Arabidopsis thaliana: one gene and its partner. The protein of the gene in region 2 interacts with the protein of the main gene of each other region in a pairwise test. Each region holds a gene or a part of one and is shown on either strand. Other genes may lie near its edges. The genes, in order: AT3G18250 and AT3G52640.

Region 1 (14,030 bases), about 13 Mb from region 2:
TAATTAAGAAAAGTGATTCTTCGTCCCAATTTGTATTATTTTTGGGGAAATTAAAGGTACTGTATTATGTTTTATTTTTATAGTACTCTACTATAATATGAGCTCACCACATTTTTGATAAAATAAAAATATCTTATGAAGAGTCATTAGTAATGTTCAATGTGCATGATTGTGGCAACTGGTTATGTTTAATCAAGTTTCAATAGTTACGTCTAATTTGGAGAGGAAAACTTTGGGAACCGAACAATGTAACGTCCGGTTGAAGTAAACCGGACACGGTAACCGAAAATTATCCACATGGGTTTGGTTTAGTTTTCCCAATAAGGTCCAGATTCATCCGCCTTCTTAGGGATCCACTTCAGCTTAACATAAAGAATTTTGCCTTTGCAAAAGAATTGCTCCCGACAAATTAGCAATTAGACTAGGTATCCCAAAAAGCAATAACAGAGGATTAAACTCTCTCATCGCAAAAGACGTTACGCATCCAATTTGGGTAACCCGAGGCTACATAAAACTGAAGCGTCCCGTCAGACGTAACACTGTTAGCAATGAGACTAGTTCCTCTATTTGCTGATGCACCTTCTACGATCAACCGCCAATCAGAGATCAGACTCAAAATATTCAAGATTAGTTGTTTTCATCTTTCTTACATGAACTGTGATTTTGTGAACATAATTTTGTTTTTCTTCTTTCCTCGTTACAGTTTTATAAAAATAATTTGTGAATTGCAGCAAGCCATCAAGCTAGGATTATGTTGGAACTCGTAAAGAAGTTAAACCATGTCAAAGGACACAAAATAATCATATTATACAGTACTAAACATTCTACATCAAATAAAATAAAATTATCTTAAGTACACAGCTTTCTAAAACACAAACATCAACATTATATATTCGGATACAAATACATTTATACTAATTTCCAAATTGTATTGTTTTATCAGATGTAACAATACTTTAACCAATTGCCGACAAAAACTTAGATCTTTTTAATAATTAATTAAAAACAGAAAAACCAATCTTAAAATCTCAGAAAAACTTTAATTTAGATACGCGTAAACAGCTTTATATGTACTTTTTTTGTTGTCATTACGTTAATAAAATATAAATCTGATGGTACCAAATTTATAAATATAAATTACCTGGCGATGAATCATCATCTCTGTAAATTTCTCCAGCTCACTTTACTCTGCAGAGAATCTAACGTTTCATCTTTATTTTATTTTTATACAAATCACAATTTATTTTTCTTATTAATAATAATAATAGTGATTATGTTGACGATTAATAAAGGATTAGTTTCGAATTATCAATATATAAATCCGTCCAACTAACCTATCCCGTCGTTATCGAACCAATGGAGACCCCACTCCCTCCTTTATCGCAACTAACCCCAAATCCTACTCCCGCCGCCGCCGTCTCTTCCGCTATTCCGGCGCCAGTTAAGAGCGTAGCCGTTCAGCAACCGATCGATGGATCTCCACGCGCCGTTGCTACTGATACCGGAGGTATTCCTGAGCCACTTGCGGCTGTTCCCGGCGCTAAGCTTCGTCTTATGTGCAGTTTTGGTGGCCACATCATGCCTCGTCCACACGACAAATCGTTGACGTACTCCGGCGGCGAGACTCGTATTGTGGTTGTTGATCGACGTGCGTCACTGTCTTCGCTCCGATCTCGTCTCTCTAGTATGCTTCTCAACGGCCGGTCCTTTACTCTCAAGTACCAGCTCCCTAGCGAAGATCTCGATTCACTCGTCACCATCACTACCGATGAAGATCTGGAGAACATGATCGAGGAATACGATCGCGCGGCTTCGTCAGCGACGGCGACTGCTACGCAACGGCTCCGGTTGTTCCTTTTCGCTAACAAGCTCGAGACCGCCGCTACTATGGGATCTCTGCTTGACGGCACGAAATCTGACACATGGTTCGTCGATGCTCTGAATCAATCTGGTTTGCTTCCTCGTGGTTTATCAGATTCCGCCGCCGTGAATAATACCTTGGTGAATCTCGACGAAGCTAGCGGCGGAGAGACCGAGATCCAAAACCTTGAAACTAATGTTGGTGGCGAGAACAATAAGCGAGGGGATTTGGTTGCTAACGGTGTGATTTCGCATCAGGAGATGCATATGAGCTCGATGCCTGATTCTCCAATGATGGAAGCCGCTGGTTCTTCGATAGGATCTTCTTCTTCATCTCCTTCCACATCCAATTTGCCACCGATTCGCGTTAGAGTCAGTGAGGACCAGAGGATAGAGGAACAATTGGCACAGATGACCTTCTCAAACATGCAAACTCAGAGGCAATTTGATGATGGCGTTAGCTTGATGGCAAATCGGCCAATGATGATTCCACCTGGTGCCATGAACGATGCTGCGATGGCGTATAACAACGCACCTGGTGATGGTACTGCTCCCGCAAGCAATGGCCATGTCTCACCTGAAGACGATCGATCCGAATTAGGTGTATCAACTGGCTACAGGAAGCCACCTTTGCCGATGCAACCAGTAACGATCCCACCTAGAACTGTTGGAGGCTATGGCTTGACATCCCCTGATTCTGTTGCAAGGTACTTTCATCTTCCCCTGGACTCTCTCTAGTTATTTAGGTAGCTATAATGATCTAGGTAATTTCTGATCTCAACTTCTTAGTTTCTCCATCATTTTCTTCAGCTTGCCTTGAATTTGTAGTTTCATTTGCACTGTTTCTGTTTCTGTTCTATAATCTTTACATGTGGTTTGTATTACATCTCTGATAGTGGCTAAGTAGCTAAAAGAAATAGATCATTGGTTTGAAGTATGGTGTATGAATCGATGATGGAGAAATCATCTTAAACTGTCAAATGCTTAAGAATTTTCTATGATCTTTATCATCATCTTTGTTTTATTACACCTTACAATCAGAGATTTTTCAATTTGGTGTTCTAGATATTTGTGTAGATATTGGTATACTCTTTGAACCATAACGTTACAAGAGATGTTAGCTTTATTCTTTTGAATATGATGATACTCAATGCTGATATTTCTTGTTGTTTATACATTACAGTGATACTAGCATTTCTTCTGCTACTTCATTTTCAAAGCCGATGTACTACCAAGACCAACCTCCAGCTCTGCCAAGAGCTCCTCCAGTGGCACAGCCTGAAACCACCTCGGCCCAAAGCTCTCAAGTCTTACCTCAGACTGAAAACACTTCAGCCCAAACCACCTCCCATGTCTTATCTCAGCCAGGTACGTACACAACTATGGATCAACAACAACAACAACCTCTGGCTCAACAACCTTTCTTACACCAAGGCGTTCAGTATATCCCTCACCCATCACAATACATACCAATTTACTCTCATCAGCAACAAAACTACCCTGTTTACGTGATGTCCGTCCCACAATCTCAGCAGTATATCCCAGCAGGAACTCCCCCGCTCTACCCGAACTCAAAACCCGGCACAAACTCGAGACCTGAAGCTGCCCAGAACGTTTACCGAGCTGCTCCCCCTCAGGTTATTCAGCTTCAGCAACAGCATCAGTACATGGGTTACGCTGGAGCTCCTCAACATAGCACAAACGCAAACGCCAATTACGGTACTGGAGCTCCTCAACATAGCACAAACGCAAACGCCAACTACGGTGGACCCTTTGAATACACAAACTCTCCAAACGAGACAGTGTATTACCACACACAAGCTCCTGCTGCAAACACTGCCATTCCATTAGCGTCTCCATACCAAAGCATGACACCAGCAGCAGCCGCAGCAGCTCTAGCCGATATGTCCAAGCAAATGGCTCTTGACGGCGGCAAACAGCAACAGCATATGGCTGCGTCTCAGCCGCTTTAAACGCTGGATCTTTGGTAATAAATGCGCAAAGTGTTAAGTATAGCCGACACGGCGCGCTCTGTTCTTTTTGCGTATTACATGTAACGTCCTGTTACATCTCGTTAGATATACATAGGATTTGCTATCTCGTTGTTCTTATCGTAGTTTGCTTATGTCTCTCTCTCTTTTCTGATAAATAAATATGTTTTGGATATTTTTTTAAGTTCTATATTGGAATTATCTTGATCCGAAGATTACACAAAAACTCAAGAAATGGAACACCAGTGTATACTAGATATAGAACTGTGAAGTGATCTGTTGAGGTTGCTTCATGCTTTGTCACTTTAAGTGATGCATTCAACACTTGAAAACTTGATATTGCCGCTCAGAAAAGAAAAAAACTCCATTAACAAGTCAAGAGAACAATTCCAGCTTTTTAAACACAACATAAATCTCCATTAGCTTCATTACTTATAAAACGTTCAATCACATATCTCCACCATGGCCTCTGTTAAGACCATAAACATGTAGCAGTGATTGAAGTAACCAATTCATCCTCTGCAAAACTTGATTCCTTAGCTAGCTTCTAGGATTTCCTCATGCGCATCGAGATCAAAATCCTTTGAATTCACTCGAATCATATGCATAAAACAGAATCATCTTAGCCTCTAACCTGAGGCTCTTTGATTCAACTTGTAGTCAATCTCACCAACAGCTTATACTATTGTAGATTCACGTCAATAACCTGATTGAACAAACCGAGTTTCAAAACAGTACCCCTGTTCAACCATCTTGTTAAACAGAACACACCAGCAACTTGAAACCCACTACTAGTAGTAACCTTTACCATGTCACTTATCAGCAAACCTTGTGATATCCCTAAGACACGCCCTTAAAACAGCTTACATATCAACTCTAGAATCCTTGATGTATCTTTCAAGCTGTAAAGAAAAACCTGCAATACTTCTTCTTGTATGCAACTACCAAAACGAATTTGGCTATTACACCATTCAATTTGCAGTCTTTAGTCAATGCCCTTCATTTTCTTAAAAACAAAATCCTTCACTTGACTGACCTGCAGATAACTTCCCATGAGTAGACACTTACGTTGTCTCGTCATCAACCAAGACAAATTTATGCTCATGAGTTGTTGTCTTCTAAATGCAATTTGAATCCTCTGCATTTGCATTCCTTTCTAGGACTTCTTTTCAGCTGCTAACACCAGCTTTGAGATGAGTTGTTTATCAGGCTTGATACACAACACTTTCATAGTCTTGAAGTGAAATACCTTGAGACAACTCCTGCAACACTTACACATGTCTCTTTTCAGTTCCTTCTTTAGAGAATTCATTGAACCACTTCAATAACTTCATCTCTATTTACACGTTAGTGTCTTTTCTGAAATTTGCAGCCAGCAACTCCTATCTAGAAACCTGCAATTTATTTCTGAAAAATCTGCAGTCTACTTCTAAATGACCTTACCAACAATCAGCTCCAAACCAAGCCTGTATCCACCTTGTACCATCTTTGAGCTGAAAACCCGTTGATAATAAACTGTTCTTGACTTGTTTTCTTATAAGCATATTGAACTTCCATGAATCTGATAAACTAGTGAATTACACAGCCCTTTAACTCTTTTATCTTCAGCTAACCTTCTAAGACAACATCCACAAACATAGCTCCACCATGAAAAAATAACAACCTTAAGTATATGTATTGCTAACTAAACCGGACAGATGAAACTAAACCGGAGATTAAGACATTTAACCAAATTATTGATTCAGGTTCTGTAGCAGATTCAGGTATGAAGAAGAGCTTTTTTCCTGTCACAACCTAAAACCCTAAATCTCTGATCCGCCATGAGAGGAGCTCTCTTGAGAAATGCATCTCTCTGCGCTCGCAGAATCATTCTTTCTCCTCGTATAACCCATCAGATCTCCCCCAATGTTCCCTTTCTCGCTCCAATCGCCGCTCCTGCTGCTCCCAAGTTCAGATTTTTCTCCTCCGAATCCGGTGAGAACTCGACTACGGCCCCTGAGTCTTCGCCGACTGATTCACCCGAGAAGAAAGATCTCGTTGTAGAAGATGTAAGCAACAAAGGTAAAACACACTCTATCCTCTTGTTTGGTTACCTCACACTTGAAATGGCCTTTGTATTAGTTGAAATGTGTGAGTTTAATTCTCATCTCACCATTTCTCAATACCTCATAGTTTTCAATTGATCCTTCGATACAAGATTCGTAGCTTCTTATCTCATGAACTAGTAGAATAGCTGTAGGTAATCGTTTGAAATTGACTTCATTTATTGGATTTTGTGGTCTCAGAGCTTAAAAGCCGTATAGAGAAGTATTTCAATGAGGGTAATGAAGATGCTTTACCCGGAGTTATTGAAGCACTTCTACAGAGAAGACTTGTAGACAAACACGCAGAGACTGATGATGAATTGTTGGAAAAAATCGAGTCTCTACCTTTCAAAGATGATGTCAAGGATGAAGATTTTGAATCCGATTTCGAGGAAGCACATTCTACTGACGAAGAACTTGAGGATTTGTACAATTCTCCCGAGTATGTAGCTGAAAAGATGAGGAAGAATGAGTTTTTCAACATGGATGATAAGAAGTGGGATCACATGATTAGAGAAGGTATCCAACATGGGTGTCTTACTGATACTAAAGAATGCGAGGAGATTCTTGAGGATATGCTCAAATGGGACCAGCTTCTTCCTGGTAATGGCTCGTTTATTTTCAATCTTCCCGTTCATCGACTCACATCCTTAGACATAGATTAGGTTGATTAATAGACTAATGTGCGTCGTTATAGCTAAACACAATCTCTTCGTGGAACTTAGCTTTTGTAGTTAACCTTTCTATTTGGATTTTTCTGAATCATGGTATGAGAAGTTGAGAACCATTCGTTTTTTTAACTCGTAGAAGGTAATGTACTATGCCAGATATGTTACTTCTCGGATCAGTAGGGCCGTTTAGAGAATATATTGGTTTGTTCCTGTGATGCGTACATATGAACATTTCTCTAACTGTGTATGTTCATTCAGATGACTTGAAGAAAAAGGTTGAAGCAAAGTTTAATGAGCTTGGAGATATGTGTGAAAGAGGTGAAATTGAGGCTGAAGCAGCTTATGAGCTTTTTAAGGAATTTGAAGATGAGATGGTAATTCAGTATGGGGATCAGATGGAAGCTGAGGGTCCTCCCCAATTTGGTGAAACAGATGCTTCCGATAGGAATACTGACTTGGATGATCCCCCTGGTAAAGGCCCAATCCTCAGGTGGCAATCAAGGATAGTTTTTGCTCCTGGAGGTGATGCGTGGCATCCAAAGAACAGGAAAGTTAAAATGTCTGTTACAGTGAAAGAGCTTGGGCTCTCAAAGCATCAGGCTAAAAGGCTAAGGGAACTTGTAGGGAAAAGATACCATTCGGGGAAAGACGAGCTTACAATCACCAGCGAGAGGTATATATAACTATAAATCTTAAGCTTTTCGTGAGACAAGAATGTTGAATCATGAAATGTTTTTGTCCTGTCACAGGTTTGAACACCGAGAGGAAAACAGGAAAGACTGCTTAAGAACTCTTTACGGGTTGATAGAAGAAGCTGGGAAAGCCAACAAGATCGCTGAAGACATAAGAACTTCATATGTAAAACAAAGACTCCGTGCCAATCCAGCTTTTATGCAGAAACTACAAGCCAAGATCATAAGGTCTAAAGAATCAGATGCCATCAACGCTTGAACAAAACTTTTCCCGGTTAGCGCCTTTCTTGTCTCACCAAATAATCTGTAGGATCGTCTTCTTTTGGCAATCATTTGATCCGTTATGGCTTTTCAGATCCATGAAGAATCTTTGATGGTAACTCCTATCTTAGTTTGGTTTGCTTGTTGTATCTCATGAAGACATGAACCTTGGCTGTGCTGTTGGTGTCTATTAGAGACTAGTTAACGTTTTCTCAGAATTATGAATCTCTCCTAAAGTTAAGGTTTCAGATATGTTTACGGGTTCAGAATGAAAGTAACCAAAGGAAAGAATTGGTACAATTTTTGTTTGGGTTTTGTATCAGATGTCTTTCTAATTTTTAAAGAAATTCAATCAGTAAGATAAGAAATGGAAACTAAATAAATTATTGCTTCAATATACGATAGCTATACATCTATAAACGAAAGTAAAATGGTCGGACTGTTCTGTTTATATTTTCCTGACGAAGAAAAATGAAATCTCAACCTCCACAACCACCACCGCAACCGGCACCGCCACAACCTCCGCCACCGGTAGAGGTGCCTGAAGTGGCTCTGTTGTCGGAGACTCCGTCGGCACAAGAGAATAACAGAGCGGAGAGGATACAACAACCGATCACAGCCAGGAACACAACATGAAACAGGTAACTAGCATCGAAATGTGTTGTTGTGGTGGCCATGCTCATTACATCTTCTAATAAGTGTCTCGCCATCTCTCTTTCTCTAGTTAATGTGGATGAGATTAAGTTGTTTAACGTGAAAAGCTTTCCTACTTATAGCCGATAAATTCGTACGTAAGGCCACTGACTTTTGATAAATTATTCGTTCAGTAGTAAGATTTCTTTGTAATTAAATTTTTCTTTTTAAGAAAAGAAGACTTATTTGTTAAAATATAGAAAAGACTGCAATACAAGACTTACCAGAAAGTCATCCATTTTAGTCTACTATTCTCCTCCTCTCAACTAAACACATTTGACTGCGGAATTTTGATGGAATCACGTATATTAGATGAAGATAGGACCCGGTTTATAATAATTTCTAGTTGAAGATTATGTTTCTTTAAAAATATAAAACTTGTAATTCGAAAGGCTAGGCTAATTTTATAGGTCAAGATTATATTATGCTTTTAAAGAAATTTAAAGTTCAATATTTGATAAATTACATACATAGTTCTAGTTAAGGTTTTGTCGAGGAAGTTTAGTTGAAGATAAGGATTTTTGACCATTTACATTAGCGTGAGAAAAGTCAAATGCCATAATATAATTATCATTAATCATAATGTATAAATCAGCTTGAATTGCCTCGTCTTTTTAAAAAAATTATAAATATTGAAGTGATTGTTCATGGCCTTTGTTAAATCCAATAAAAATACAGAGATTTTGTACTGTTTAGTTATTTATCATTGGTTATCATTGATTGTTCATAACTTTATGCATGAGAAGCTATTAAGTCTCTCTCTTCTATTTCACGTGGACTCCATTTTTGTTGTTGGTCCAAATTTGACTATGCAAAATCAAATTCTTATCAAAGGACTTTCGACGTAACCCAATGTTCTTCCCTTTTTTCTTTTGGCGTCTTATTCTTCTACCACTAACCAAATTTAATTCATCATGGATTATGTAATTTCGTAATCTAAAAGCTTCCGAAACATTTGACCAAACAAGAATATATAACTCCGTAATATATATTTTTATTTATGTATACAACTGCCAAAAAATACCAAACTTCCATTTTTTACCAAAAAAATATCAATTTTTTTATTTTATAAGTATCTAACTTTCTAACAAAACTTATAAAATACTTTACGTCCATACCACATATTTTGACGTACGCAGTTTGAACTAGCTAGGTGTGAGCATCGATTTTTGGGTATAGTATGTTTCAGATTTTTGGAAAAATTAAAGTTCCTTAATAAAAAGGAAGATTGAAAAATGTGTTAGAATAGTCGATGTTAAGCGAGAGAGAAATTGTAGGTTAAAACAAAAGTGAAAAGTCTAACTCCACTTATTATTAACATTGTCATTTTCAAAATAACAAAATATCTCTTTGACAATTTTGTAGAACAATTGGTATCTATTTTAGACAAAGTTTGGTTTGGACAAAAAACGAAAATTTGGTATTTTGTTTTGTATTTTTTCCCATACATGTAAACAAACGTACGTATCTTGATATTTATCCGACCACTTTCGCTTTCGATTTAGTGTTTATTTATTTTATTTTTATAGAAGAAAATTATTATTGAAAAAAAAATAGCTCGGTTTTGGCAAATCTTAACGTTATAACAGGTTTTAGGAATGTGATGGTGATATAATGTGCAACAGATTTGCAGCGATGTGCTGATGATACCCGCTTTTCAAGTGATTTGGTCGATTTATAGTTTATTATTATACTCATCAAGGTTAAAACTAGACCAATATCATTAATTGGAGAAAGTTACCATAAACAAGTTCTTGTTAATTATTTCCCTAGAGGCTTGATTTTCACAATTTCACATCATTATTCCATTTGATGATGATTATCAGATCTTAACTTCTTCTTCTTCTTTTAACAGATATGTATATTAATTTGGGTTGATGAGGTCGCATAAATACAGTAGCAAACACATTATCTCTATAAGTAAAGAATGATCAGAATTAAGTAAATTTCTTGTTTTTGACAGTTCCTCTTGGGATTTTACTAAGAACATTCGTATCGACTTTCTTGTACAGCTTCTTCATCTTCCTCATCAACTTACCCGCCGCTGTATCCACGTCGTCCTCGTACATCTCATACATAACCGGTAAGGTTTGCATGCTTACAAACCCTGAACGACACGACGTCCATTAATTCCGTTAATTAATAAAAGGGAATTAAATCTACATATATAGTTGAGTATCATGACTTAATTCTTCTTACCTATGAAGAGAAGATTCACAAAGTTGAAATATGTCCCGATGATGGATACGATATAAAGCGAGATCGTTGTCTGGAAATATAGTAACCAATTTAAGCAAAATAATAATGAATCCAAAGTTATATATATATATATATATAAGTGGAAAATTATTATTCTATATAATATCTTACGAGAAAAAAGAGAGGAGGATCTCTTCCACAAGCAACGTCAAGAAGCTTTGTGAGGATTTGGTTGAATCTAACATGGAAGCTTCTTGCTAATTGTTTGAAAGAAGATTCGTCTAGTACAACTTCTGGTATTAGTGGTCTTTCCCTGCAATTTTGTTTATTTAATTGTCGTTTTATTGGTAAGGAAATCTTGTAATTTGTATATTTTTAACCAATTGATCATGAGAAATTGAAAAAAGATTAATCAAGTAAAGATATAAACATACCAATTGAGAAAATCAGAAGCAGTAGACCAAATGAAGAAAAAAAGCATGGAGGTCATGGAAGCATGACAAATTAGGGTTATGAAATTGTATTCCACTACTTCCATTAAGAACCATAAGATGCTCACTCCTATCACCAATGTTGCTGCTATTTTCGGCTCTCTCCATAACAGAATATCCGCAACTGTTAATCACGAATGCAAGTTGTTAAAATTTAGTGTTTGTCTACATTATAATTTTGGTGATAATTTTGGATAATAGCAAAATAAAATGTGATATTTGAAGAGAATTGATGGATATAAACATGTACTTTCACACACGCATACCGATTGAACCGATATAAAGTTTGAAAGAGAGTGAGACAAATACCTTTACCACCTCCAAATATAGAGTGAATAGATCGTTGACGAGTGAAGAGCTTAGTTGTTTTATGGATCGTTCTTTCGTCTTCAGAATCGGAGGACGATCCCGTAAATATTGGCATGGTTGGATCAAATTTATTAAGATAAAAGTTACTGCGGTAAGAAACAACAATGAAATGAATGTAATCACTATGTAAAATAGTTGATTTGGATTAGGAGAAAATGTGAAAAGCAACAAATATAAGAAGAAAGAAGAAGAGATAGGTTCTAGGCTTGGGAACAAAGGTAACAAAAACATATTCAAGAAGCAAAGAATGGGAATGGTTTTGACCTTGTTCCTTCTCCCATTTATTTCTTCATCTTCATGTCTCAATAAACTATTCAAACCCCTCACGTACGTTGCATATATTTTAACTGAGTGTTATCTTCCCGGTATAAGTGAAGACCCGAAGATCTGGTCTAAACCGTAGCAATTTGAACCGAACCGGTTTATAACAAGACGCCGATTTAACCGGAGTTGCTGGAGTTAAGATGATTCCGTTCGGAATTGGCCGTGGGATTTGCCCGAGGCTTGGAACGACAAATTGGTGTTCGCGGTGGTGATGAAGAATCCGCTGAGATCAAAAAATGTTTTCGATTTTATCATCATCTTCTTCTTCACAACTCGTCAATTCAACTCTCAATTTCCAAAATTCGCCGAAATCTCCGATCACCGTTATGTCGAAGACGTCTAAATTCAAAACCCTGACGGAGAATTTCACCGTGAGAGTGCTTAAAGCAGAGAATCGCGAACTGAACGTGGCTCTGCTCTCACCTTTCACTATCGCTTCTTCACGGCTTGATTCTGTCAGTAATGTTGCGATTCGGATTGAGCTCAACGATGGATTTGTGGGTTGGGGAGAAGCTCCGATTTTGCCGTCGGTAACGGCGGAGGATCAGATAATGGCTATGGTAAAAGCGCGGGAAGCTAGTGAGTTTCTGAGAGAGTTACCGGAGATGAAACTCGGTAATGTTCTTCAGGAGATCGGAAGATTTCTTCCTGGTCATCAGTTTGCTTCTGTAAGTCTGACATCTTGTATAGTTGATGCTAAAGTTGTGATTTTGAGGTCAAGTTAAAGTTCAAATTTTGGGTCTACATTGGCTTTGATCTTTCTCTCAAGGAAGAAAATAAGAAAATTTCTGAAGTGGGTTTTAGGTAAGAGCTGGGATGGAGATGGCTATGATTGATGCAGCTGCTAAGAGTGTAAGAGTGCCATTGTGGAAACTATTTGGTGGAGCTTCAAGTACGATTACTACAGACATAACAGTTCGGTTCTAACTTTAGCTCTTCCTGCTACAATTTCCTTTCAATTTTTGTGTGTTTGCAAACAAATTCCTAAAGTTTATAGTCATTGGCTCCTAAAGTGATTCAACTATGACTATAACTTAGATTATGTGTGTTAACACTGCATTCATAGTTTCTCAAGTATGAAAGTATGGAATGTTAATGGCTTGAAATTTGGAGCGTATGAAGTTTTGAATTGTTTGTAGAATGTTAATGGCTTGAAAACACCGGGAACACTAATAAATTACTCAAGTATGAAGGTTTGTGTGATTTGTGGTTCTCAGATTCCGATAGTTTCTCCGGCTGAAGCTTCCGTATTGGCCTCAAAGTATAGAAAACGAGGTTTTGAAACCTTGAAGCTCAAGGTGGGAAAGAATCTTAAGGCTGACATAGAAGTTCTCCAGGCTATACGTGCAGTCCACCCTACTTGTTCCTTCATTTTGGATGCCAATGAGGGTTATCAAACAGAGGAAGCTGTTAAAGTTCTCGAGACGCTGCATGGTAAACAGGTTTCTGAATCATTTTTGGAATTTTCTCAGTTAGGTATTGAGCGCTAGAGGTTTTAAAAAAGGATAGGTGTTTGGAAAACTTCTAGCCTGTTCAAACTTTAGTAGCTGGCGTTTCTTTTCTCGGTTAAAACCTGAATTGTTGTGATTGTTTTGCACAGAAATGAAGGTTACACCGGTTCTCTTTGAACAACCTGTCCACAGAGACAATTGGGAGGGTCTCAGTCACGTGACTCGAACTGCAAAGAACAGATTCGGAGTCTCTATTGCAGCAGATGAGAGTTGCAGAGGCTTGACTGATCTCAAAAAAATCATAGAAGGTAATATCGTAGATGTTGTGAACATCAAACTCGCCAAAACCGGAATCCTCGAGTCTCTTGAGGTAATTGAATTGGCTAGATCATCTGGCATTGAGCTTATGATAGGGGGAATGGTGGAGACTAGATTAGCAATGGGGTTCTCTGGTCACCTTGCTGCTGGCCTTGGATGCTTCAGGTATACTCAAATTTGTAAACACCACATTTCTTTCTAATGTGAACATCATAATTCTAACAAGTTAAGAAGGAATACACAGATTCATCGACTTGGACACTCCGCTTCTTCTGGCTGATGATCCAGTTCAAGGTGGCTACAAAGGTAAAATAGTCTCTGTTTTCTTCATCTTGCATTTTTCCTTGTTAAAAAGATGATTGAAATTCAAAATGAACAAGTCTAATGCTTGTGGTTTTGTTGACAGCATGTGGTGCTGTCTATGAGTTTAAAGATGAAGGCGGTCACGGAGGATATCTTCAGTGGAATGATGTTGCTCAGTGAAATTCCTTTTGTCTACTTAGGTCCCTTTTCTTTTGTTCAATAGGATTTTAATCGTAAGTTTAATGTTGGTTTTGGGTTTTGTAAAGGCTAATCTTGGTCCTAAATTCTCAGTATGTGTTAGTTGAGAGTGTATGTAATCTAGA
Region 2 (19,280 bases):
CTTGGTGTCATACGTTCCAAGAGTGTAGTACTCGTATCTGGTCAAGTCCAAACTAACCTTCAACACATGCTTGGCGTTTGGACCGTCGTAGCTGAAGTCCAAACCGTTTTTCTTGTCGGTTACGGATACCGGGAAGAAATCGGGACATTCCCACATACCGGTTTTCTTTCTTGAGTGGATAGGACGTTTGCTTTTGACCCATTTTTTGAAGTCACGGCTCTTGTACATATAAGCAATTCCTCTGTTCTTTCTCTTTGAGCCAACAAGCATTCTCCAATACCCATCTTTTTTGTTGAACCAAGCCGTGGTCGGGTCACGGAAAGCGGATCCGTTCTCGCCATTATCGGGTTTTACGATGGGGTTATCGTCTGGCTTTATCCATGTCTTGAGGTATGGGTCGGAAAGATCTTGTGGAATGGCGTAGTTTTGAATCTGAGTCTGGTTCTCGGTGATACCGGTGTAGAGGATAACCGGTCCTTTTCCCGGTACGTGGGTAGCTGAACCGGACCATGTACCGTTGATGTCGAACCATTTGGATGGGTAAATGGCTGGTTCAAGGGCTTCCCAATTGATCAAGTCCTTAGAAACCGAGTGAGCCCACACAATGTTACCCCAAACCGCACCTTTGGGATTGTATTGGTAGAAGAGATGGTAAACTCCCTTGTAGAGCATTGGAGCTGTTGCAATTTTTGAATATTGTTACATGCAATCATATATATAATGTTTTTGTCATTAACTTATAAAAAGGGAAAAATATTTGTAATGGACTTACCATTCGGATCTGTTGGAGTCAAGAATGCCATAACGAAGGCAAAACAACAAACCCAAGGAATTTATGTTAGAACAATGTATTTTGGTTGATATAAACAACCCTAGTAATAGAAGTTGAATAAATATGAACTTGAATAAGATGTCACATATGTTGTACCGTTGATCCAATGGCGGGGAGGTTGAAAGTGATAAGCGGTTCTGTGAAGAGGACTTACTGACTCCAATGATGTCGATTTTGATTGCAATTTCTTGAAAACTTTGTGAAATGCATCGACGCCATTATTGCTAATATTGATTAATACAATCAATAGTAATACATAACCAAACTTTGGAGCACTCATTGGTGCAAGAGAACTCTATGATCACAACAATTTATTTTGATTTTATTTTTGATGTGTAAATAGTTTTTGAGAAAGAACTCTCTGATGAAAAAGATATAGTTTTCGTAAAAGATATAGAAGAAAAGAGGAGGGAAAAGTAGAGTACTTTGAAGATAATATGGATCCGTAAAATAATCCTAATCTCACGCTAAAATAAGAAGTACACAATGTGGTTTGCAATCAATTTACTTTTGTTGTCTTTTTAATCCATTTTTAACAATTCTTTTATTGGTTTTGTCGAAGAAAAGAAAAGGTGTAAAGTCAAATAGTTTGGTCAATTGTTTTAAGGTAAGTAATAGTAATATCGAGGAAAATAGTAGATAAAACTAATTTTGGTTTTAGATCAGAGTTTTGTTTTGTCTATTTTTTTTCCTTCGTTTGTTGTTTCACATTTGTCTGGACTTAGGGGTACGTCAATTGGAGAGCAGGAGAAGAGAGTTAGTATTACACTAAACTAATTAAGTCCACCCATGATCTATCTATCAAAACACTAAGCAGAACCAATCGAAATACATAACAGCACAAGAAAGGTCGTACGTCCTTAATTATATATTGTAGTTTTCCATTAGGTACTCTACATACTATATAACCCACGTCGCCAGGATGGTGATGGATTCTTCTAAGGAAGATTGACTGATGCTAATCTATCTCTTGTCAACCAAAATTCTGCCGCCTGAATCCGATTCTTTGACAATAGAGTCGCTGCTAAAGAGCTATCTATAGTGTAAAATCCAAACCATCTATATGAATAAGAGATATTACTTGACAGTACTCTTCAAGGCTATCTATAGAATCATATCGTTCAAACTGTTGTTTCTTAAAGAGCATCTCGTGTGTTTTATCTTTATTAATCTACATTCCATATATGTTGCAAGCTGAGTGAGTATGCATGAGTAAAACAAATAGTTCCACTTAAACCTTTTCCAAAAAACCAAAAAAAAATCCAATTATTTGACCTTAAAATATAGGGAGAGGTTTATATAGTATTGCCTAAACGTGAGCAACGTAAAATTAAAGACGCTAAATTCGTAAATGCAAAATCATTTCTATTTGGTTGATAAACCGGAAAAATTACACTTAACCGAGTAAAAGGTACGTCACTGTATCTTCCCCATATTTACCCACCTGACAATATATGATACAAGTAAAATCTTAAAATCCCAAAAAAGTGAAAACAATCTCTCTTCTTTCTCAAGGATAATGAGTGAGCCAAATCGGGTACCCAAATCCATGACCCGACCCGTCGGAGGAACCGAGTACAGCTGGTGCAGAGCGATTGACGGCGGCACAGGTATCGCCGTCATAGCTCTCTTACTTTCCCGAACACCAAAACTCCAAAATCTCCAAAATACCCTCGACAAACTCCAGATTTACCACCCCACTCTCCGTTCCAACATCCGTTTCGACGCATCCGCTAACTCCTTCTCCTTCGTCGTTACGTCCGCCGCCGATTCTCACGTCGAAATCCATCCCTTCGATTCCGTATCTACGGCTCAGATCATCCGAGACAGCGACGATCCATGCGCTGATCCACACAGAATCATCCTAGAACACGAGATGAACAAAAACACGTGGATCAATCCACACCGTTGGATCAAATCCGAGTCACGCGTGTTTATCGTCAGTCTCTACGATCTAACCGACGACGGAGAGCAACGGATACTCACATTTCGGCTGAACACGGCGGCGGTCGATCGTACTGCGGCGGTTACGCTTCTGAGAGAGTTTATGAAAGAGACGGCGGCTGATGGTTTCGGAAACGGTCCCGTGGTGGCGGCGACGGAGACGGCGGTGGGATTAGGTAAGGCGATAGAGGAGCTGATTCCGAGTGGGAAAGGGGATAAACCGTTCTGGGCGCGTGGCATCGACGTGCTTGGTTACTCGTTAAACGCGTTTCGGTTTTCGAATTTGAATTTCGTGGACGCAGAGAATTCGAACCGGAGATCGCAATTGGTGAGGCTCAAATTGGATAGAGATCAGACTCTCAAACTTGTGGCTGTAAGTTACTCTCCACACCATTCGATTAATTAATTATGTGCTAATTACTATTATTACGTGTTAACCATAGAGTATTAGTATTTGTTACCATTTTTGCGTGTATGAATATAAAATAAATATCTCACGAGGATTACATAAAAAATAAAATAATAGTTACTTTTATTTTATTGTTATGTACATAATTTTGAGTAATCCATAGTCTACAAATACTCATTGTTGCAATTACATATGCATACATTGAAGGGCTCTACATTTAGTTTGTAACTCAAAAAGGACTAAGAGGATGATGGTTTGTGCTAAAAAAGCTTTAGATTGTTTCTGAAAAGTTGGAGCAATTCAATCACTATTTGTAGGGATGCAAGGCAAGAGGGTTAAAGTTATGGGCGGCATTAGCGTCCTCGGCGTTAATCGCTGCGTATTCCTCGAAGAATCTACCGCCATACCAAGGAGAGAAATACGCCGTGGTGACTCTTTCGGATTGTCGTTCCATTCTTGAACCTCCTCTTACTTCAAATGACTTTGGTAAGCTCGAAAATTTGGGATTACTATAGCCTTTGATGATATATATGAGGAATAGATGTTCATAGATTATCTTCTCATGATTGCAACAAATTTTTTATGAGCTAGTGATGATACGGTTCAAGACTGCATTTTTGTAGTTCTTACTAGACATTTTCAAACTCGTTAAACTAACAATGGACAAATGCAATTTGATTTGGATGTTGTAGTATTGATCTTATGATTTGAACTTGATATATTTCTTATTTTGTTTCCAGGTTTCTACCATGCAGGGATCCTTCATACACACGATTTAACCGGAGAAGAAAAGCTCTGGGACCTAGCCAAAAGATGCTACGACTCGTTCACATCCTCCAAGAACTCGAACAAGCAGTTCACTGATATGTCAGATCTCAATTTCTTAATGTGCAAGGCCATAGAGAATCCTAATCTCACGCCTTCCTCTTCTCTGAGAACCGCTTTCATCTCCATATTTGAAGATCCTGTTATCGACGAGTCTCCAGAGCCTGAATTGGCTTCTCTTGGGGTGCAAGATTACATTGGATGCGCGTCTATCCACGGGGTTGGACCGTCGGTTGCGGTTTTCGATGCGCTTAGGGATGGAAAATTGGACTGTGCGTTTGTGTATCCTTCGCCATTGCATTCAAGAGAGCAGATGGATGGGCTGATTCAACATATGAAAACTATTCTTTTGGAAGGATCTGCTTCTTCCTTTTGATTTGTGTTTTGACAATCAAAACTCTCTCTTTTGTCCAGAGGCATAGATGGTCTCTGTAAAAAAATTAGTCGAAATAAATTAACTTCAAATTCTCCTCATAGATTATTGCAAACATCTATCATGAATAGAATAATATAATATTCTTTAAGAAAACAATTCAAATCAAAGAAATATGTTAGATGAATATTGTCATACACAATTCTATTTTATAATAAATTTAATTCAACCATCCAAAATGTTTGAAAAAAAAGTGAGCATTTATTGTCAAAAATAGGATTTTAGATTGGAAACATAAGGTGGAAGTGAAACTGATAAAAATTGAGGAAAAAAATATAGAAAGTGAAAATTGAAATATTTCATTTCAGTGGAATCAGCAATATTTGCGGACAATAATTTAAGAATTGAGCTAAAGAAAGCTTATGGAATCAGCAAACTCCAAACTATTTTTAGAGCACAAGACTTAGCCACAAAATCCAAACTTACTTGCCTCAGTTTCAAGCTATCTTCATTTTAATTTGTGTTCAAATCATCTTTTTGTAAGAAAACAAAAATCATAGTGTCAAAAATGGCAACGGATACAACAACTTTTCCTGAAGGCGATGCAGAAGCTGAACTTAATCCTGGCCAAAACAAGAATTTCGAAGTAGATCCTGTTTCATCAGAGATTGCTTCTGAAAAGGTAATTAGTTGCTTATAGAATTTAATTAGATTTTATATATGACAAGATTTATGATATCTCATTATTGAATGGATGTGTTGATTTTGCATGAGTTTCAAATAAACCACCAAATATTAAAAGCTTTTATCACTTTTCCATGTACAAGATTTATATATTTACTTTTGGGTTTGAAATGTGAAGGTACAAAAAATCGTAGAAAAGAGGGAAAACGCAAAGGCAAAGAGAGATGGGGCACGAACGCTTAAAAACACGATCATAGTATCAGCAGTGATTGTGGCCGTCGCAGGAGCCGCTTTTGCTATAACCAAGAAATTGAAAGAGAATAAATGATCTTATACAAGTTAATTTCTCAATTTTCCTTTGTAACTTTTCTTACATAAGAAATTAAGAAAAAAATAACTATTGACATTATATAATAATTATTAAAATCTCTATATTTTTTTATATGTAATTTTTAAAATTAAATAATGCAATTGAATACCATTTTTTGTTTTTTTCAAACTATGGTTTGAATAATGCGTTTAATGAATGTGTTAATTGTACCAACATCAAAAATAAACGAATTCTGGTTTTGTGAAAAAAACTCAACGATCCAAGGAACACCTAAAAGGCCCAATGGGTACAATACATACAGGCCCATAATCAAACGATTGGTCCCATTGTTTCTCTTCATATTTGTTGGCGCCATGTGAAGCTTTTCATTTCCCGCCCAAATTCTCTCCATAAACTCTCTCAAAGCCTAGAAAGTCCTCAGAAGTTAGGGCTAATCATTTGCAACTCCGACGAACGATTCATCTTCTCCAACAAGGTAAATCTTCTTAATCAATTCTCTTCCCTTCGATTGAATTTCTCAAAATCGATTTCCTGGTTTTCAAAATTTTTAATCCCTTTATCTTTGCTATTGAATACGAAACTGATTTACCAATTCGCTTTTGAATCTTTGAACAGTAGATAGCAATGGATACTTCAAGTCCTTCAGCTTTTGTGAACGGAGCTTTGTTGAGGAGATTCATTGGCCAAAAAGTCAGAACTGTGATTCAAGTGACTGGTTCAGAGATTGGATCTGTGGTTGGCAAATCTACTGATGATCTTCAGATCGTTGTTAGAGGATCGTCTCCTCCTTCTCCTCTTACTACTTACCTTGAGGTTATTGGAATTGCAGAGAGTGATAACGCTATTCGAGCTGAAACTTGGACCAATTTTGGCAACACTTTTGGTAATTTAGTGATTCCATTACTGTGTCGAGTTTATCAGATTTGCTATTGAGTTGTGTTTTGATGTTTTGGTTGTTATTTTTGGTTGCAGATACACAGAACTACAACGAGCTATGTAAGCTAGCAAATGGGGAGTTCAAGCACTTGTTCATCTAATGTTGTGATGATGATTATGATCATGGAAGCGATTCCATTAAAACATTTTGTAGAGATGCTTATGCTTTATATGTATTTGATGTCTCACCACTTTCTGGTTCTATGATTTTATTTACTTAGTATATGTAACAACTTCTTAATCTATCACAACTAAGCTTAAATTGCTGTTTTGTTAATTGAGGTACCAAAACACAAAACAAAACACTATTTTCTTCTTGGCAGCTAAGATTTTGCTCTGGATTTAGAATTGTATTGTTGCTTTATCTATAGGATTTTGTGAAAGCAAACTTTTTTCTTATAAATTTCTTGCCAGTGTAATAAAGAATTTAACATGAATTAGCTCAAAGACATATTTTAATAACCTTGGTTGAGAAAAAAGGTTTCTACCACTAAGGTATTGGTGGTGTTGCTGGTTAGGCAATGTCTTACGGAAACTGACAAGTAATTTTGAGCCGAGAGGAGAGGGAATTAAATACAAGTCTCAGTCCTGCTTCAAGGCTTTTGTGATGATTGACTTAGCAGCCAAAATTCCGATGTAAGCCAACGTTGTGACTGTAATACCTGCAACGAGGACTGCATTGTCGTATGCTGAGTGCTGGACTGTGTACACATGCACCCTTAAAGTGTCCCAGTTGCTTTCGGTCCACACTGGATCAACCATCCCCATAGAATCTGATGAGTTCTGTGGTAGAATTGTCCAAGCTCCATCGTTATACTTCAATCGAGTTGAATAAGCTGGAACATACCTGCCAAAACCAGAACTTAATGTGTTATGCTCAGACAGCAAATTGGTTAGGTCACATACAACATATCAGGTCAGGGGAAGAAGAAAATGATGATAGCTTCAATTCAAAGGTCAACAAACTAAAGATAGACTTTCTCCCAAGTCTAAAAACACTCCACTTCTGAAGCCTATCCTAATTAATAATTCCTATAAAATGCCTACCAGACTTAAGATTTTGGTTCATTTTGAGACATAAGAGAGAACTTGAGCATGCAAACCAAATTGCAATTTCCAAGCACAGAGTTTACCTGGTTGTGGAGACAACACATGTTCCTTCCTTGTTGCTCTCTGCTTTGATGCACACTTCGTCAGTTTTGCTACAGACTCCTTTTGAACAAACTGAGGTTGTATTTCCCTTTTGGACAGATGTTTTATCTGCCAGAAAGTTCCATAGGAATCTAGAAACATCACCGACGTAACCAAGGTAAGGTTTGGAGGAAGGTTCTCCGAGGATGACGCCAGCATAGTTGCCTGGACAAGTGTTTGTCGGTGAAATATAGTCTTTTACCAAGTTGCAAGATAAGCCCGGTTCACAAGCTAAAAGACAGGTTAGAAGCTCTTCAACGAAAGAAGCATTGACATGGATGGATCCCAGAGCTGAATTGCTTGTATCTTTGTTGTCACTTGCTAGGATGTAAAGTGTTCGGGCCACAACAGAAGCAGCAGCTACTACAGACGAGGAGTTGATATTTGCTGCAATACAACACCAGAAAGGAATCAAAAGTGCAAAATGGGGTTTGGAGCGAAAAGAAGAGAAAGACAGGCTGTGACTCTTCTTACACAAGTCATCGAGGTGACTATGGTAGAACTTATTCACAAAGTTGGTATCAAAGTCTTCAAGTACAACAGCTGAAGTCTGAGGGTTCTGCAACAATGAATATGATGTTATACCTTTTTCACTCTAGGCAATCTGGTTCAGAATCACATAATAGTAAGCAAGTATACTTCTCCTGTCATATTCATGATCAACTGAAGGTGAAGTATATGCAAAGAGTATAGTGCGAATACACATTTGAATTGTCTTCCCATCTATTTACTTGGAATATATATTGTACCTTTCTCATGAAAGCCATCAAGGAGGATGGGGGTATTCCAGGGTTTGCAGTATCTGCTGAAAGAATTTTGATGTTTTTTGATGCAAGTGAATCCTGAGCTATCTTTAAAGCATCCAGTGTCATGTTTGTAACTGAAGAAACCTAAAGCAGAACACCAAAAGTGGAGGTTAAGTCGCCTATGACAGTTTTCACATTATCGAACGAATTCGAATTATGCAAGAGTTTCAGGATATCAGGAATTTCTCACCCTTGTTTTATGAGCAAAGAAGGTGTTTATCCCTCCACTTAAACCTTTTCCAACAGATCCTATTTCAAGCACCTGTTAGATAATAGAAGAAGCAATCTGAATTCGATCTTTAGATTTAGAAAATTGTGAACATTCAATTTCACAAGGAACACTTAAACTTGCTTTCTGCGCTACTAAGAAACAAATAAGTTGCAGCAACGATGAAACACAGGCAACTTTTTCCACAGGGATTTCATGCATAAGGCTAGCTGTCTCTATCAACTTTGTCAGACCAAAACAATAATGATTACCGTTTCAATCGAAGTATTGCTAAGGCCTGCGACAGCATCTGAATGCAGATCTAATTCGTGTAAGAACCTCCTGCTGCCAAGGTAACCCCATGTCTCTCCGGTCAGAACCAAAAACACAAGCTGCATTCATTTACGATTTACATGTATTAAAGCTTGCAAACAACAAAAAGCGTGAAATAACACTAAATCACATGGTACACTGGCACCTGTTTTTTGAGATTACTAATACCATCAACTCGAGAAAGAGCATCAACTGCTCCTAGAAGAGCTACCAGACCCTGAAAGAAGGAGAACGTGTTGAGCAATAAATCGGGAAAAGAAGAATAAGAAGAGTAAATAAATGTATTCTAGATCAACCCAAAAGCAGAAAATAGCAAGTTCTCACAGATATTGGTGAATCTGCACCAAAACTTTTGTCACGGAAAAATGATGCAGTATCCATGGAGGCCACAGTCAGCACAACTGGTTTGCGATTGTTGGAAGACGAAACACTGATTGGTGGAAGCGAGGACCAAACACTGTCCTTCATAACAAAGTTGTTAGAAAACGAAACGTATCCTTTAAAAGGTTTTCATATGTCATTAGATCAGACAGTAATAAAGACCTAAATCTTTACCTATATCCGCCCAATGGGAGGCAAGTTCCCTCCTGCAAACAAGCCTCCGAATTGTGTGTTCCAGCTTTGGTAGTCTAATACAAAAAATAGAGAATTGGGTGTCATAATCTAAGTCAAAGTGAAGATCCATAAAGCTGGTTAACGTTCCAGTGAGCAAGATTGCTAAAGCCATATACCTCCATAACCATATTGAATTCAGCAACATCACTGGTATATGTTCCATGCTTCATCTTTTTCTTGGAAAGGATCTGCGCAAATATAATAGGATGTAAATATGTAGTCGATAACCTGAAAAAAGTGAAGCTATCCACATAAACTATACACTTTAGATTGCTACCAACACAACAGAAACATAAAGCTAGCTTCTTGACAGAACCTCATCTGGTAAGGACAACAACATACTATAGAATGACATAGTTGACCAGCAGTTTAAAGGCAACTACCACAAGACAAATGGAAAGGCTATGGTTGAGTCCAATTACAGGCTATGGAAAGCAACATGCATTTGAAATCTACAGATGCAGCTGGGAGTTGCCTTCAGCTGGATGAGACAAACATTCCAGGACCAAATTTGTATTCTTATTTAAAATGGGTAATCAATGCTTAGAAAAATTTCTGCAGACTAATTCAGTTTAAACTAGGAGTATTCATTTCATATGACCTTGGAGATACATATCTCATGCATCATTTTACAGCCATATTTTCATCAAGCAATACTGCTCTTAAGAGTGACCAACAGTCATAATGCCTCTCTAAGCCTTGAGTTCATTTCCTCATATTTCTAAAAATGTCATCAATTTCGCTTTTCTGACAACACAAATAGACACATTTAAAATTTGCAAAAGAATGCAAGTTTGAAGGATTACCTCATGCACAGCTGATATGCCACTTTCTGACAATAAGTACACAGGAAAATTATAATTTCTCCACATGATGCTTGATGCCTGCAAATAATCATTTTTTAGCAATGGTCAATGGCTAGAGACTTATCGCCTGCAACTACTCATAAGAATCAAAATCATTTTTTCTCCGTAGATAACAATAAGAGGAACTATCTTTTAATTAAGGTAGATAAATATGCAACAGATTTTTGAACTTCTTTATAAGTGATCATCTAGGCAGATACATGCATTCCTCCAGTAAAATTATACCATAAGAAAAGGATTTATGGTATTTGTGTGTTAGCAGGTAGTTAAGTTTAGTTCCAGAAGAAAACAGCATATAACTCGGAAATGCTTGACTATGGATTTGGTGATAACTGATTGAAACAATTTCCAACCCACTATAAAAGAGTTGACAGGAAGAAGTAATTTCAAAGATCCAGACAGAGTTTACGCTACCGTACAGCTGAATTCCATTTGTACTCAACGTTTTCATAGGGTGAAAACTGGGCTTGAGGAAACCTTTTATCAGGAGAAAACCCTACAATAAAGAAGAAAGAAACACTAACGCCATCAACATAGATAAGAAGTATCAAGTACTATTTTTAAGGGAATTAAGAACTCAAGACAATTTAAGGAATTAGCCATTCAAGTTGACAGAATCATAAATATGTGGATGGACATAGTACCTTTTAACTTTTGTTGGAAATTAGATCCTGATTCAACTAGAACACCACCAATTTTGCTAGCAAAGCTCAAATCAGTTGACACCCTGGAAAAGGCACAAAGAGGAGTGGTCCTGTTATTTCTACTGAATAGAGTGTCTAAGCGATGTACAAGTCTAATGAACAATGCCAGAAGTAAGCCAGACTGCAGGGTTCTACAGTAAAGTGTTTGGAGGTATACCTACTTTCCGTTAGTCGAATGAAAATAAAGCGGAAAAAGCCAATGAATTACTGGTTCCACTAAACACCTAATCCATGCACCAACAACCAAGTGACTACATTTCTAGCAGATTTCAAAAATGGTGATAAGAGGGTATACTCATTCCAATCTGTTGTTTCACTGTCATGGAAGATTACTAAAAGTGTTTGCCTTAAATACTCAAGTACTAATGAAAACAAACTCTTAGATATACGTTATTCTTAAGGATGTAATTGCCTTTCCAAAAAGGCTGATTTGGCACCCAAAAGCTAAATCTTGTTTGACGTTAAATAAAACACCAAAATGAGAACTACAAGCGAGTGGGAAAGCACTACTCCACAAATTAAGAGATCACTAACAAAATCGAATAGAGGTCATGAAAGTTTTGTAAATGAAAAAGGAGACATGCCTGGTAAAGAAATCTTCCATTTCATCAGCTGTAACCAAAATAGTGTGTGGCTGAACCAAATCTTTAACGTCCTTTAATTTTATGATTGGAGCCACCACTTTATTTATTCCAGGATCTGAGTATTTTTATAAACATAAAACTTAGAGGACCTCATCAACAGATAAAAATCATGTAGCTGAGAGGCCCAAAAGAAGCTTACTTGAACATCCAATCTCTCCAGACAGATTGAGAAGACGTACACAAGGAAACCCATCAACAGCAACATACATTAGCTTCTGAAGGTCAGGTACAGATTCAATAGATGTTATCTCATCTACACAAAACGAAACCTCAATTTCAGATTACAATGTTCTATCAACTAATACATTTCATCACCAATTTTATCCGGGGAAAGGAAACTCACCAGCGAGAGAGAGATGAAGAGGAAGGATTGAAAGTAGAACAAGTGTAAAAGCTATAGAAAGAAGACGAATAAGTCCCATTGCCATAGCATCCGTCAGAGAGTTGCGATTATTAGCGGAAGCTACTTGCAAATCATCGCTGCAGATACGATCAAGAATAATGTGACCGATTTTATAAAAGATCAAAAAATGTTAGAATCGGAAGAAGCAGTACCTGGGAAACGAAAAAAGGGGAAATTGGAAGAGAGAGCGAGAGAGAGGTCCGATTCGCCGGAGAAATGGAAACCTAGCTCGGAATTACGCGGTGGGAGTCTGAGTCAAAGACTGAGATTTTTCGTGTTGATTCTTATGTCTTTCAAAATTCCCAAGATATAGAAAAATTGAGGTATTCACATTTTGTGCGGATTTTATTATATTAAAAGTAATTAAGTGAACCTATCTATATATATATTTTTGCAGCCATTTTGTAAAATAAATCCTAGATTTGGAACTTATTTACAATGGCTGCCACTGGCTTTTATTTATTTATTTTCTTTTAGCAATAAATTGATTAACAAACAAAAAATATTCCAAATATATTCCAATCCCATATATCACGCAGATTTCTCCAAAATTTGAACTAGATTTCGGAAATTATTTAAAACAAAAAATATTTGACAAACCAAAATACAATTGCAATCCCTTAAAATGAGCAAAACGCACATAAATACATTTCTTATCAGTTCACTAAATCTTATTTCTCCAAAATTTGAATTAGATTTCGACAACTATTTAAAACAAAAATTTGTTTGACAAACTAAAATATAATTGCAATCCCGTAATTTTTTTTTTTAAATTAGCGGTGTACTACAAATTTTTTTAACGGGACGGGTTTGGCAGAACGGGTTTGGAAGGATGTTACTTAATAACAATTGTAAACTATAAAATATAAATATTTTATAGATAAATATAATTTACAGACTTTTATATATACTAATTTTAAAAAATAATTGTCTCCGCGGTGTACCGCGGGTTATAATCTAGTTGTTTATACAAAAAGAAAAAATATTTTCATTCCACATTTTCTTTTTTTTTTTGTAAGAAATTTGTATTACATTTTATGGCTTCATTTTTACAAAATCGTAGACTAATTATGATTGATTAGGGTATTATTTGCTAGATTATATAGGCAAGTTTTGGCTAAAAATTGATAAAAAAAAAAACATATTGTATATGGTAAAACTATAATTTTAAAGAAATTATTCCATATGTGATTTTAACAAATAACGTAGATCATGTATAAACTGCATGTTAATTAAGAAAAAACTAGTGTTAATTTTGAAAACAATGTGTAAAAAAAATATAAGGCGCAAATTCTCATCCAACTTGAAAGTTTTTTTTGCATAAAAATCAAATTTGTCGTATATTAAGATCGGTAATAAGCCGTAATATAAGATTGGTCGCATCATAATAAAAAGTGACTACACCTCCTTGATAGTCTCGCTTAGGCATCTTTTAGGTCATATCAATACAACATACACATATACATATTTTTCAACACCTGAGGTGCGCGAAGATAGACACTTCTTCATCCTCTCCGTAATTCTCAAAATTAGGGTTTTCTTCCGGCAGCTCTCTCAGGTACTTTCTCGCTCTTTCTTCTTTCATCTCATTGCGCCTCTCTTCGTTTCCTTTCGTGAATCTTTTTTTTTGGTTGGGGATCCAAAATTGGGATTTGTGTAACTCTTCTTATCTTAATTAAAAACTGAATCTTTCTCTCATTTTTGTTCCAATGATTGCTAAGTTAGCTTAAACACGCCTTTGATTGACATTTCTCTGAGTTATAGCTTTGTATGTGTATTGGGTTGTTCTTGGTTGTATCTATCATTGTGGTCAATTTGTGTGAAATAATCAAATAGAATTGTAGTTATAAGCTGAGGATTCTCTTAACAGGTTAGATTGGCAGCATAAAAAATATCACTTGCAAATTCTGAACAATGTCTGTTGTGGGAGATTCTAACATGGAGCTGGAGTTTTCTAAGCAAAGATACTATTTTGACTTTAGCCCTTCTTATCTTTCTTGTTGCCATGAATATTTTAACCTTCTTTGCATCTAACCAAGGCCTATGATATCATGGTTTTTATCCGCTCTCAGGGGTCATTTCGTTTCTTATCTTTTTTTGTTTCACCTGTTGAGCATTTCATCGCCCTCTTCTCTCTTTGTCTATTTGTTTGTCACCTTTTTAGCCGCATTATGGCAAAGCGTCAATTCGAACTTCTTATTCTTCTTTTCTATTGGCCTCTTATTGTTTCTTTTCCAACCTTTCCTCGGTTTTATTCTCTCTCCCCACTTGCTTCTTGCTTCTGTGTCTCCTCCACAGTTGTACTGCAAGCATTCTTTTCTAGATATTTAAGATGTCAAGGACGAGGACTGCTGCTTCTGAGGCTCATGACTCCATGGAATCTGAGGAAAGGGTAGACCTTGATGGTGACAATGATCCTGAGGAGATTCTGGAGGAGGAAGTTGAATACGAAGAAGTTGAAGAGGAGGAGATTGAAGAGATAGAAGAGGAGATAGAGGAGGAGGTTGAAGTGGAAGAAGAGGAGGAGGAGGAGGATGCTGTTGCAACGGAAGAGGAAGAAGAAAAGAAAAGGCATGTTGAACTTCTTGCACTTCCTCCACATGGTTCAGAGGTTTATCTTGGAGGGATTCCTACTGATGCTACTGAAGGGGACTTAAAGGGCTTCTGTGGATCTATAGGAGAAGTTACTGAGGTAATTTGACATCTTCTTACCTAAACTATGGTTGTGATTTAATTTATCTTGTGCTGAGTTTGGTGTGATATCAACAGGTTAGGATAATGAGGGAAAAGGATTCTGGTGATGGAAAGGGGTATGCATTTGTAACATTCAGAAGTAAGGACTTAGCTGCTGAAGCAATTGATACTCTAAATAACACTGACTTCAGAGTAAGTTCTTTGACCTGATTCTTAGTAAATTGTCTGGCTCTTATTTGTTTATTTACTTGATGTAATTCAATAGGGTAAAAGGATAAAATGTTCGACTACCCAAGCAAAGCATCGTCTCTTTCTTGGTAATGTCCCTAGAAATTGGATGGAGTCAGACATTAAGAAAGCAGCAAATAGAATTGGTCCAGGCGTTCAAATTGTCGAACTCCCAAAGGTTTGTCTCCTGCAACTTGGATAAGTTTCAGCCTATAGTGTCTATTAAGTTATTTCTGTAACTTTCATCTCAAGTTCATGTGTAATTTGTAACTTACAGAAGTATTTTTTCTATAGAAATTTAAGACATGCCTTTCTCACTCAGTTGATCGGTTTTCTATTTGGTTTTGTTAAAATCACAGGAACCACAAAATATGGGCCGGAATCGTGGATTTGCTTTCATCGAGTATTACAACCATGCATGTGCTGAATACTCGAAACAAAAAATGTCAAATCCGAGTTTTAAGCTTGATGATAATGCCCCAACTGTAAGCTGGGCTGAATCAAGGAGTGGAGGAGGAGGAGATTCTTCGGCTTCCCAGGTTTGCTTCATTAGAACCTTTCTTACTAATAAATAATAGAAGCAGCAACAAAGAGACATGTGTTCAAATGTTTTTCTTTCAAAACCATGAAAAAGATCTTACTAATATGCTGTGTGGAATGATTGCAGGTCAAGGCATTGTACATCAAGAACTTACCTAGAGATATAACACAAGAGCGTCTAAAGGCATTATTTGAACATCACGGGAAAATACTGAAAGTGGTGATCCCACCAGCAAAACCAGGAAAGGAAGACAGTAGATACGGATTTGTGCATTATGCAGAGAGGACAAGTGTCATGCGAGCTTTGAAAAACACTGAAAGATATGAGATTGATGGTATGTTCCATTCCGAATAATATTCTTCCGTATCCTCACATCTTTTGATGTCTAAATACCAAATTGTATCCTCATTTGTATATAGGTCATATGTTGGATTGTACTCTGGCAAAGCCTCAAGCTGATCAAAAGACGAATACAAATACAGTTCAGAATGTGCAGAAATCACAATTGCAACCAAACTATCCTCCTCTTCTTAGTTATGGCATGGCTCCTAGTCCCTTTGGTGCTCTCGGTGGATTTGGAGCTTCTGCCTACTCACAAGTGAGATTTCTACTACTTATCAATCAAATCATTATCTTTTGAGAAAACGTTATAACAATTTAAGCCTAAATTTGTGGGAATTGTGCAGCCATTAATGCATGCCGGAGGTCACGCAGCCGGTGGAATGTCGATGATGCCAATCATGTTACCCGATGGGAGAATCGGATACGTCTTGTAAGTTCTTTTCTATATTCCTCTATACTGATCTCATGCGATTCCTATATATAAGACACATGTACTGATCTGACGTGTTGAATGTTATAGGCAACAGCCTGGACTAGCAGCTATGCCGCAACCACCACCAAGGCATTCTCCACCGTATAGGGGAGGCAGCGGTTCGAGCAGCAGCAGCGGCAGCAAACGAAGTAGTGACAACGGTAGAGGACGAAGCCGTTACAATCCTTATTAGTAATTTCATAATTATGTTTTCTTTATTGGGAAAAACACCCCAACCAAGACACGAAAAACAAAAAGTCAATTTTAACCATTGTGTTTTTGTCTTTGTGCCATCTGTTTTGAGTTTTGTGTGACTCTTAAGAATTTGCGGGTAGCAATGGGGTTCGTTTAACTCGTGTTCTGTATATCATTGGTTTCCTGTTTGTTTTTTAAAAAATAATTTGTTTATTCATGTCTTTTTCTGATTATTTTATGTATGGTCCAGGCTTACTAAAGCCCAATAAAGGCCCAAACTTGTTATCGTTTCAAATTAGCACAATCACTCACGTCATCATCATATTAAAGCAAAATTTGTATCCGCCCCGCATTATCCAAAACCCTACCGGCCGGCTGTTCAATTCTGTATCCTCTAACGCCGTCTCGTCTCACAATTGGTGAGTTTCAATCTCTTCTAATTTTCGTGTTTGCGTTTAGAGCGTTTGAAATACGATTATAACACCGGAAAAGCAAACGCCATAACAACGATGAGAAATCAAGGTTTTACGAAGGAGGATAGGATGAATCAGTTGCCTGAAGATTTGATTCTGCGGATTCTGTCTTTTCTTCCAACAGAACTTGTCATAGCAACGAGTGTTTTGTCTAAACAATGGCGGTCTCTATGGAAGTTGGTGCCAAATCTCGAGTTCGATTCTGATGATTACGAAAGTGAACACTATACATTTTCAGAGATTGTTTGCAAGTCTTTCCTTTCACTCAAAGCTCCGGTTCTAAAGAGTTTGCATCTCAGTTTTAGATGAAAGTCAGTTAATCCTGTAGATATCGGACTTTGGATAGGAATTGCGTTTGCTCGACATTTGCGTGAATTGGTACTCTATGTTGCCCCGAAGCAGACCTTCACATTTCCGAGTAGCTTGTGTATTTGTAACACACTTGAGACTTTGAAACTCATACTTGGGATTCATGTAGACATACCTTGTCCGGTTCTTTTGAAATCTCTTAGAACTCTGCACCTTGATTCTGTGAGCTACAAAGATGAAGAATCTATCCGTAACTTGTTATCTAGTTGCCCTATTCTTGAAAATTTGGTTGTGTATGAATATTGGTATAATGTTGTGAATTTCGATATTGAGGTCCCGTCTTTGAAGAGACTTGAGATTTGTGACGTTCTTCACAAAAAAGAGTTTAGAAGATATACGATTAATGTTCCCTGTTTGAAATACTTGAGAATCGAAGGGTTAAATAAAGATTTTGAGCTTTGTCTGAATGCGCCGGAGCTGGTGGAGGCATATTTTACTAAAGGTTCTCTTATCATCGCTGATAAGTTTCTTGGTTCACTAAAGTCAGCCAAACGTCTCTCTTTGGATATATTAGCTTTGAAGGTAACTTAACCTTGCTATTGAATTTTTTGGTTATCTCATTGTTATTTGCAAGATTTATATACCAATAATTGTTTCATGCACAGGTTGTGTATCCTACTGGTAGTATCTTCTATTAACTGGTATATCTGGAGATGCATACACGTAGAGAAGAGTGGTGGAATCTACTTACGGTCATGCTCGATAGCTCTCCTAAACTACAAGTCCTCAAGCTCATTGATGTAAGATATATCATTTTATTATTCAGCTATCTACTTTTGATGGTCTCTCTTAGGGGTTTAAATTAGTGAAGGTCTAAGAGTAATACACATGAATTGGTCTCATCAGCATACTCAGGATGTAAGTAAAGATAATGTGGTTAGCGAGAAATGGAACGAACCAAAGTATGTTCCTGAATGTTTGTTGTCTCACCTCGAGACATTTGTGTGGATAAGATACGATTGGGAAAGAGAAGAAGAGAAAGAAGTAGCTACATACATTCTAAGGAACGCAAGATGGTTGAAGAAGGGAACTATCTCCACAAATCCCATCGAATCGAAAGACCTTGAGAAGTTGGAAGAGAGACGTAAGATGCTCAATGAGTTGGATAGTGTGGTCAGGGCTTCCAATTCTTGCAACCTTGTGTTCGAATTCGAATGATCTTATACAATCTTGCTTTTATTGAATGGTTTTACATTCGGCCATTGGATATTGAAAAATTTCTGAATCTTCTCTATCTCTATTCTCTATGATGAATGAATGATGATACAATCTTCTGCTTCTTTCGAGCGATGTTGGTTAACATTAACATTTTGGTATTATTTTATAAATAAGTAAACCGGTCGGATTCGGTTTGATTTTAAACAAAACCGAGATTTTGATTTTCAATTAAAAAAAAAAACCTAAAGTCTTTCAATTGGCGAGAGATTCAGTACTTTCTTCGACTTTGTTGAGTGTTTGAAATGCGATTTTAGCACCGGAGAAGCATTGAACCTGAATGATTTCACCGACAATGGAACAGGGGTAAGTTTCTTTGTTTCGTTTATGTTTAGAGCATTTGAAATCCGATAAAACATATGTTTCTTTGTTTCGATTCTTTGAGAAATCGAAGTTTTGTGAATGAGGATAGGATGAATCTGTTACCCGAAGCTTTGATTTTAAAGAAACTGTCTTTTCTTCGAACAAATCATTCTATATGCAAGCTCGAAACCCTAATTCTTAATCTTGTCTTCTTTTGGTTTTTGTTAGTGAAAGTTTGAGAATTCGCGTTGTTATGGGTAAAGACAGGATCAGTGAGTTGCCTGATGGTTTGCTTCTAAAGATATTGTCTTCTCTTCCAACAAACATTGTCGTAGCCACAAGTG

Evidence for each region.
Region 1: the proteins of AT3G52640 (region 2) and AT3G18250 interact in a protein complementation assay, tested with the Arabidopsis thaliana proteins (one large-scale study listed by BioGRID).

What each region holds. Positions count from the first base shown.
Region 1 is NC_003074.8:6,250,139-6,264,168, forward strand, and holds AT3G18250 (Putative membrane lipoprotein), read right to left. Parts: upstream 8,289-14,030; 5' UTR 8,270-8,288; coding exon 8,039-8,269; 3' UTR 7,922-8,038; downstream 1-7,921. Other genes in the region: AT3G18230 (Octicosapeptide/Phox/Bem1p family protein), read left to right, coding at 1,357-2,567, 3,044-3,833; AT3G18235 (uncharacterized protein), read right to left, coding at 4,534-4,591, 4,719-4,792, 4,888-4,924, 5,015-5,163; AT3G18240 (Ribosomal protein S24/S35), read left to right, coding at 5,672-5,912, 6,137-6,538, 6,865-7,279, 7,356-7,557; AT3G18260 (Reticulon family protein), read right to left, coding at 10,190-10,359, 10,452-10,521, 10,623-10,764, 10,886-11,066, 11,252-11,366; CYP77A5P (cytochrome P450, family 77, subfamily A, polypeptide 5 pseudogene), read left to right, coding at 11,872-12,303, 12,440-12,550, 12,853-13,069, 13,236-13,569, 13,649-13,710, 13,811-13,887.
Region 2 is NC_003074.8:19,508,162-19,527,441, forward strand, and holds AT3G52640 (Zn-dependent exopeptidases superfamily protein), read right to left. Parts: upstream 12,384-19,280; 5' UTR 12,257-12,383; intron 12,182-12,256; 5' UTR 12,130-12,181; coding exon 12,045-12,129; intron 11,955-12,044; coding exon 11,841-11,954; intron 11,757-11,840; coding exon 11,642-11,756; intron 11,081-11,641; coding exon 10,998-11,080; intron 10,850-10,997; coding exon 10,773-10,849; intron 10,372-10,772; coding exon 10,294-10,371; intron 9,676-10,293; coding exon 9,604-9,675; intron 9,502-9,603; coding exon 9,428-9,501; intron 9,330-9,427; coding exon 9,197-9,329; intron 9,090-9,196; coding exon 9,018-9,089; intron 8,932-9,017; coding exon 8,812-8,931; intron 8,594-8,811; coding exon 8,522-8,593; intron 8,416-8,521; coding exon 8,275-8,415; intron 8,085-8,274; coding exon 7,468-8,084; coding exon of another isoform or gene 7,464-7,467; exon of another isoform or gene 7,182-7,463; coding exon 6,917-7,181; 3' UTR 6,712-6,916; downstream 1-6,711. Other genes in the region: CWINV2 (cell wall invertase 2), read right to left, coding at 1-677, 773-781, 929-1,112; AT3G52610 (GATA zinc finger protein), read left to right, coding at 2,352-3,149, 3,503-3,671, 3,926-4,386; AT3G52620 (uncharacterized protein), read left to right, coding at 4,952-5,065, 5,246-5,395; AT3G52630 (Nucleic acid-binding, OB-fold-like protein), read left to right, coding at 6,023-6,281, 6,371-6,435; AT3G52660 (RNA-binding (RRM/RBD/RNP motifs) family protein), read left to right, coding at 14,437-14,796, 14,874-14,990, 15,064-15,204, 15,386-15,565, 15,694-15,901, 15,987-16,165, 16,254-16,339, 16,430-16,574; AT3G52680 (F-box/RNI-like/FBD-like domains-containing protein), read left to right, coding at 18,914-18,939, 19,165-19,280. UniProt on the Arabidopsis thaliana protein: Probable subunit of the gamma-secretase complex, an endoprotease complex that catalyzes the intramembrane cleavage of integral membrane proteins such as Notch.